Daphnia pulex: one gene and its partner. The protein of the gene in region 2 interacts with the protein of the main gene of each other region in a pairwise test. Links are inferred from orthologs where the notes say so. Each region holds a gene or a part of one and is shown on either strand. Other genes may lie near its edges.

Region 1 (3,002 bases), on a different chromosome or scaffold from region 2:
TTATTATCAGCTCATTTTAAATCAACATTTTGATCTTTAATTTATTGATAAAATATCATTATCATAAAGAAATTTACTTTCCACATACCTGCTCACTTTGGTGACAGTAATCTCCTTTCATGCAACGCCATATATTTGCATTCAAACGTGCGAATATGTGAAGGGAACACGAAGCTTTCAAGACGCGATTCCCCAGTACTCATTGGTTACGCCTAATAATAAAATTATAGTTAGTAATCTGAAATAAAACATTTACAATTATGCTCTATAATATGATTGACATTTCTCTGTAACAGCCAATACTGACGAGGAGTTATATTCAAAAGATTTTTTTAGATATGGACATTATTCTATTACTTGACAGTTAACTTTCTCAGAAGCATCTTCCTGAGCCCTTCAGGAGTCATTTGTTATTCAGTGCAATGGTAAAAATAAAGACAGACTCACAACAATATTACATAGCACACTACGTTTCCAAGCAAGAAATTAGTTTAAAAACTGGCACATGTAATAATCTTTGAACTATACAAAATAGTGATTCAAGCACTATTGTTTTGTGAAATCACCAATACATCATATCTAATGAGTATTTAACAGGATATTTTCCGCTTTGAGATACCCAAGTATGTTTCATTCCCTTCCACTTTGGCACTAACACATTCAACCCTTCTATGCGAGAAGTACCTAGCTGAAACAACCATAATAGGGAATAACAGATCTTCATTTAATAAATTTAGAGTTTGTGACCTAATATGACAAATTAACTGATGTTTTCATACCTTTCTGAACATTCTATATCAATTTTGTAGTTTCCCCATCCACAAAGTTAAACTGAACTGAGGCTTTAGGATTAGAGATTATATCATTCTTAATTCATTCGAGACATGGTTGTTTGCACCTTTTTTCGTTTTGTCTTCGTGTGATACCTTTGTGGTTTGTCACTAGTTGATTCACGTGTTCGAATATTCTGGAAGCATTACGTAAACGACGCTTGGCTTGTCTCGAATGTTGAACGATCAAAGCTACATGAGATGGAAGATATCAATGATTTTTTTTAACACTTGATTTTTCAATTTGGAATTTAAACAAAATACAAGAACTTAAGATGCATGCCTGTGTGACTCACTGCTCTGTTGTTTTTTGAACCATCTGGGCGCCATCTTTCATAGGCAGTGGCAGCATAGCCAGTTCATTTTTAATTTTAGTTGATGAAAACTAAAACTAAAAATGCTTATGCATGCTACAGCCAAAATGGTTTGATTTCATTGAAATCCATATTTTACATGCAAATGTTTCATCATTTATTCGTTTAAATCCCCAAATTAAATTTTAAATTGATTTGTAATTATTCGAATTACCTTAAGGCAACCCTGGCAATAATTGTACGAAACTACACAGCTAAATTATTTGGCAGCCGTTGAAAAAAGGTAACTATTATTTATTTAAGAGCTGTTGCATCTTGCTTTCTTCAGTCATATTCACACTTTCTTATTACATCACACTGAAATTTTTATTCTCTAGTGACCAATAATGTCCGGTATTGCTATTGCTCGACTTTCTGAGGAACGTAAAGGCTGGAGGAAAGACCATCCCTTTGTAAGTTGCTGGTTTGCCAAACGATAGTTGTTGGGTTGTGTGTGTTTGATTTGTGTATCTTTGCGTTGCCTTTAGGGTTTTGTTGCCAGGCCCACAAAGAATCCTGATGGAACCCTCAATTTGATGAACTGGGAATGTGCTATTCCAGGCAAGAAATCGGTAATGAGTTTTACACTTAAAGATCTTACTTCACATTGGTGTCAGATATACTTACCAAATTCACTGTTGTTTGAAGTAACAATATTAAGTGTAACTTGTGCATACATTTACAGACTCCCTGGGAAAATGGATTGTACAAAATCCGTATGATTTTTAAAGATGACTACCCCTCTTCTCCTCCAAAATGCAAATTTGAGCCCCCACTTTTCCATCCAAACGTCTATCCATCAGGTTGAATCAAATGGCTATTTGAGTGTTTTGTTTTAGCTAACCTTTTGGCATTTAATATCCAGGCACAGTTTGTCTATCATTGTTGGATGAAGAAAAGGACTGGAGACCTGCAATTACCATCAAACAGATTTTGCTTGGAATTCAAGATCTCCTAAATGACCCCAATATTAAGGATCCGGCTCAGGCAGAAGCTTATACTATCTACTGGTAATGATTTTTACACCAGTAGACAACTTGAAAGTTTGGATTGTAATATTTCATTTGATTATTTCTCCAGTCAAAATCGAATGGAGTACGAAAAACGTGTTAGAGCACAAGCCAAGGCTATGGCTGCCACCACTGATTTGCTGTCTTAATTTCCCAAGTAAATCCAGCTGTCAAGGAATAAGTTAACTTCTTTTTCTTTTCCACGTGCTCTATTTGTTTTTTAAAAATTCTTATTGTCTTCATTTCAATACTTACTTATCGTCCAGAAAACATACTCCGATCTGAAATAAAACGCTAAGTAAGGTGTAACACTTGTTGACCTTTTTTTTTTTCAATTACGTCACTTGACTATTTTATTTGGTTGTGACCTACTTTGTTGATATGCGTTTTATCTGGCGAATATCTGATTATGAAGACCAAACTTCTTTTAACTACTAGAATTCATCAAAGGCTCTCTTACCTGATTAAAATTTGAACTAAATGGGTTATCGATGTACAAAGTGCAAAACAAGGTATGTAAAACAACAACCGATTTATCACAATATTTTCAGCAGCGACAATATTACAGATACACTAAAATCAAAGAAAACATTCCGACTTGAAATCGATTAAAAATCTTAACCGAGAAGAATCGGAGATCGGGTATGGCATTTTCAAATGGCGAAATATACGAATCACGAAACAAGTAAAGCAAATTTGTCATCATGTAAAAAGACTGTGGAGGATGCAAGAATAAGGAGGCGCAATTTCACACAACGCTTTCTCTGTCATCACGGTGGAGGTCGGAAAAGTCCTCTCCCGTCTGCGGA
Region 2 (4,919 bases):
ATTCCGGTCGCCGGATAACATGATCCTCTCGCCCAAATCGGGACTGACGTACAGGGCTAGACACTCCCAACCCAAGCGGCTGTTGCAATCATCTCCGGGCGAACCGGAATCTTCGGCTATCAAATCCTTCCGGCACGTCAAACCGGCCACACCTGGAGCTCCGCCACCGCCTTCGTTGCTACTGCCTCCGCCGGGTGAATTTTGCTGGTGATCCATCCGGTTGCTGGATGAAACAGCCGAACGTAACCGGACGCCACCAGTCACGCTCATCCCGCCAGAAACGGGCGAACAACGGGACCCCGAAACCGGACTGGAACTCGGCATTGCCGGATGACCGTTGTGCTGGTGGCTGTTGTACAATTTATCACCTGGAAAATCATTTTCAAATTTCAAAAAATTTAGAAACAAAATTAACTTAAATTAAAACAGTAATTTTATTTTATTTTTTTACCGTACTGTCCATTCCGCGTCCGTCTTTCCATCCGCAACATTTCCAACGCTTTCACCATGGCTATTATTTAAAGAAAAATTTATGAAAAATTAACAATTTAAATTAAAATAAATGAAAGAATAATCATTACGGATGATGTCGTAATATTTGGCCTCTTCCAGTAAAAGTTCCACATCGGCAAAATCGTCCGGGAGGAGTAGTCTTCCGTTGCGGACGAAATTGAGGACGTGCCGGAACATCTGGCCGTCCCTATCGATAAAGTAGTGCTGCTTCAAACTGTCCAGGACGATGGGGATGCCGCCGTTGAACATTTTGGCCAGTCGCGACTCGCCGAATCTCGTCGTGAGCGTTTCCAGCGACGACGTGTAGATGGTCCCGCCGACGTCAATGTGAACGGGCGCCGTGTAACGAGACGCCGCCGCTACGCTGGGGATGCCGGCCAATTTGGGCGTGTAAGAAGCCGAATTGGAAGAGATCACCTGGAGCATCGGCGTCGTCGTGGGCGTCGGAGTTTGGGGAGCCGGTGACGACACGGCGCTCAACGTCGGTGACGTCGCCGGAGATAAACTCGGAGATAATAGCCTATCACAAAGTTAAAATTAACATCAACTCTAATTAGTTTATCTATCATCCAAGAAAAATTTTAAAAATCCCACTCAAATTTAAATGAATTTAATTTAATTTGAAAATCCCGCTCAAATTTAAATGAATTAAATTTAATTTGAAAATCCCGCTCAAATTTAAATGAATTAAATTTAATTTGAAAAAAATTTCATTTCAATTGAACCGTGAACTTTTAAAATGTCAAGCAAATTTTGATTAAATTTTCTGATTTATTTATACAGGTAAGCGGATTACCGGAATAACCGGATGCTTTTCTATTATTTTTCATCCGAAAAATAATCTTTCCAAAAAATGTTGTTACCTGGAATGCGCTTTGCCGATCATTCTCTCCACCTGCATGTTGTTGCCCGGACTTTTTGATCCACTACGTCCGTCCCTTTTTTTATTTGAAAATTTATTTGAAATTTCTACGAAAGAAAGAAAAAAACAAGGAAAATCAATTTTCGGAATATGGATTATTATTGTAGCGGATGACGGGGTATCATCACATAACCAAACATTTTAAAAGGATAGTTAATACCCTAAGGCCAACCCCGTTAGACAGAGAGACTGATATCAATTTGAGAACAAGTAATAACATTTTGATTTCTCATTTCCTCCCCTGACGACCGTTCAAGCAAAGCAAAAAAGTAAAAAATCCTTTTTTCATTTTTTTATTATTTGATTTTCTTTCGGATTGAGTATGTGTGTGTGTACCCACACAGAAATGGCCAGTTTCCAACTTGCCTCGCGGCCAAGCCCGGCACCAATCTCTCTCTACCTACATATTCTTTTTCTTTTTTCGAAATATCTTAACTTTTAACCATATCCTTTAGATCCACCCATAGCGGAGGGCGAGCAAATGGTTTCAGGTTCTGCCTCTTGGACACGGACGACCTGCGGGAATTTAAAAAAAAAACGGGAAAAAAAGGGCCGCACTCATTTGTTTTCCAAAAATGGAACGATTGGATGTTTTTGTGTCTACTGATCTTTTCGATTACCGAGGTCACAACACCCATAACAATAATCATAAAATAACGACCCATCTAGAATTTAAATAAAAACGGGATCTTAATAATCGAGTGGTCATGATGATCTAATCAACCCCGTTTACTTTTTAAAAATTAGTTTGTGCAAACTGTTGAATAGAATAAGACAACAGGTGCGCGGATATCGAATGTCACGCGGATGTAACAATCAAAAAGAAAATCGCACATTTCATTTGACCCCAATCTAGAATTGTTATGACGTCATCAGGAGATTTTAACAGTTTTTCCTAAAAGGTGCGCCAAGAAAAATAAACAAAAGACATTTCAACACGCCAATGATATGACGTGCGTGTGTTTTCGCCGTAATAAAAATAAATCTCCGATCCGTTAAAAAAAAATAACATTTTCTGCCCAGGTGGGGTGAGCAAAAATCAGGTGATATCCCCAAAGCAGAAAAATAAAATAAAAAAAGAGAAGGGACAAGAAAAAACAAAAATTTGTCGATGCCCCGTGGCCTTTGCTGGGCTGACCCTTGCAGGCAAATACCTTTGATAATTTTGTGATTTTTTCTTCTTTTCTTTTTCTCCCAACTAATAAAAGAAGAAATACACAACGTGAAATCAAGAAAAAAAAACTGTACAGCCGCAGGAAGAATCGAAAACATTTAAAAACAGCGGATCCGCTTGAACGATTATTCCGAGAGAAATAATAATTGAAAAATCAAACTTACCTAATTATACTATCTGGAAAATTTCAATAATCATCCAGTAATCAACACCGGCAGCAGCAGTCCATTATTGAGGGAAAATCCGTTTCTTTATTCTGCGGTTAAAAACAATTTCGAAAATGTTGAAAATGAGCTGACGCAAGTGTCAAAACGACACGCACGTTTCACGGACGGACGCTCGACGGAGACTGAACGTCTTTGAAAAGCTGCGGTGCCTAGCTGGCGGATCCTATAGGAGATGCCTGGAGCACTGGACAGATGCTGCTGCTGCATGATGGGGTCCACCTCTTTTTTCTTTTTTCTTTTTTAGCTGGAAAAAAGTGCCTCAAGTGCCTCCGTAGAGCAAAGGGTATAGGTTGGAATATATCGGACGAGAGAGAGAGATGGAGAAAAAGCCTCCGGCACAGCTTCCAGTGATGTTGGATATATACCTATCTCTCTCTCTGCAACTACAACCGGTTAAATTTATTTTCCTTTTTTTTATTATTTTTATTTTTAGTAGATATCCCCCTCCCACTTCTTCTTTTTTTGGGAAATTGCAAAGTTGATGATGTTCCCACCCGCCATTTCTAGGAACTCAAATGACGTGGTGGATCAATAAAGTTGCCCTTTGATTTTTATACTCTACGGAAAATTAATAAATAGGCTACTAAACTTTGAATTGCGATTTTCTGATGAATAATAATTATTTTTGTTTCACGGATAATCGTTCATTTTTCGTTGACCCGCGAAATTTGAATATTCTAATTTCTGGGGGGGAAATGATTATTGAGGGTCTATTTCAATCAGCATTACAGCCGTTCATCACATTTGCATAAATTATGCAATGACAGCATTCACTGTCGTAATAATGAAAGTTATTTTAATACCACGAAGTGTTTTCCAGCCTCTTTTGGGAAAGCCTTAAATAAATAATTACCTTTTTTTTCTTTTTTACGTCCGTAAATTGACGCAATAAAAATTGGATTAAATTAAAATGGCTGTAGGCTCTTAATAATTTTTTTTTTCTTCTCCCCCCCGTATATACACACACACAATCTTCCAGATGTCTTCACGGTTTATTTTGTCAAAAGCCTCTGGGCGGTGTGGACTGATGGCGCACGCGCTGGAGAGTTACTCCGCGCTCGTTCATCTTCAAACACACGGAGCCGAGAGAAAGATATACTGGCACATTCGTTTCTTTTCTTTTTAGCTTCCAGCTAAATGAAGAAAATAAGCAGCGAAACTTGTAACGAAAGGGTGAGACGAGAGCCCCGGGACTCGACTGAGGTATAGCGGATGATCACGACCGAAAGGTTTGTTTTCCTTTTTTAATAAGAATCAAAATTAAATGGGGTAAATTTTAAGTTTTTTTTTTAAATGAATTAAAATAGGAGGAAAAAAAAAATTATTTCAAAATGTTCGAAAAATAACATTCCGTGAAATGCATTTAAAAAAAAAACAAAGTGCCAGTGGGATGTGTCTAAAGAAGCCGCCGGCAGCAAAGCGCACCGTAACGTTCAGGAATGCTGTCCGTCGGTCCGTCGGTCCATCTCTGACGTGGCATTTTTTGTTAGTGATGGGAATCACACATCACCTGCTGGGGCTGTTGATCTCTCTAAATAGGTGTGTGTGCGCATACATTGGCTGCTGCACACACAATAGACTGGACGTTAACTGTGTATATAGACGTTGTGTGGGGAAAACGGGAATTTTGAAAAAAAAAACTAAATTCAAATTTCGCGCGCATTAATTGTCAATACATTTTCCTTTCACTTTGTTGTTGCGCAAATCACGACCGCTCACTTTAGCTCGGGGCTAGTTGATATTTTCAGAAGAAACGGCTCGTTTTGAACGCCAATTTATTGAGAGCCCCGAAAAATTATTGACACACACACACCCATGAAGTGAGTCACTTTGGACAACGAACTTCATCATAAAACAGGTTTTCTTTCTTCTTTCCTTTTGCATTCAACATTTTTTTCGTGCCAAATAAAGAAGAAGAAAACACTCTTTTACAAAAGACCAAAATACATTAAAAATAAGGAAACGGGTCATTAACCGCAGCGGCTAAAAACGAACGGGGGTCGTTTCACGCCGAATCAATTCAACAAAAGCCAATAAAAAATCCCGAAAAATCTTCATCGACCGAAATGAATGATTACATCTA

The links. The genes of interacting proteins can lie anywhere in the genome.
Region 1: the proteins of BTB/POZ domain-containing protein kctd15-like (region 2) and SUMO-conjugating enzyme UBC9-B interact in a two-hybrid assay, tested with the Drosophila melanogaster proteins (2 studies listed by BioGRID). The link is inferred for Daphnia pulex from reciprocal best matches to the Drosophila melanogaster genes twz and lwr.

The regions. Positions count from the first base shown.
Region 1 is NC_060018.1:632,621-635,622, forward strand, and holds SUMO-conjugating enzyme UBC9-B, read left to right. Parts: upstream 1-1,274; 5' UTR 1,275-1,427; exon of another isoform or gene 1,428-1,521; 5' UTR 1,522-1,530; coding exon 1,531-1,596; intron 1,597-1,671; coding exon 1,672-1,755; intron 1,756-1,868; coding exon 1,869-1,986; intron 1,987-2,048; coding exon 2,049-2,193; intron 2,194-2,263; coding exon 2,264-2,342; 3' UTR 2,343-2,502; downstream 2,503-3,002. Other genes in the region: receptor-type guanylate cyclase Gyc76C-like, read right to left, coding at 2,942-3,002.
Region 2 is NC_060026.1:14,341,908-14,346,826, forward strand, and holds the start of BTB/POZ domain-containing protein kctd15-like, read right to left. Parts: upstream 3,212-4,919; 5' UTR 2,774-3,211; intron 1,483-2,773; 5' UTR 1,415-1,482; coding exon 1,377-1,414; intron 1,034-1,376; coding exon 582-1,033; intron 512-581; coding exon 452-511; intron 369-451; coding exon 1-368. UniProt on the Drosophila melanogaster protein: Functions with the transcription factor TfAP-2 to regulate octopamine neuronal signaling pathways that control behaviors such as male aggression, male mating, and the initiation of feeding.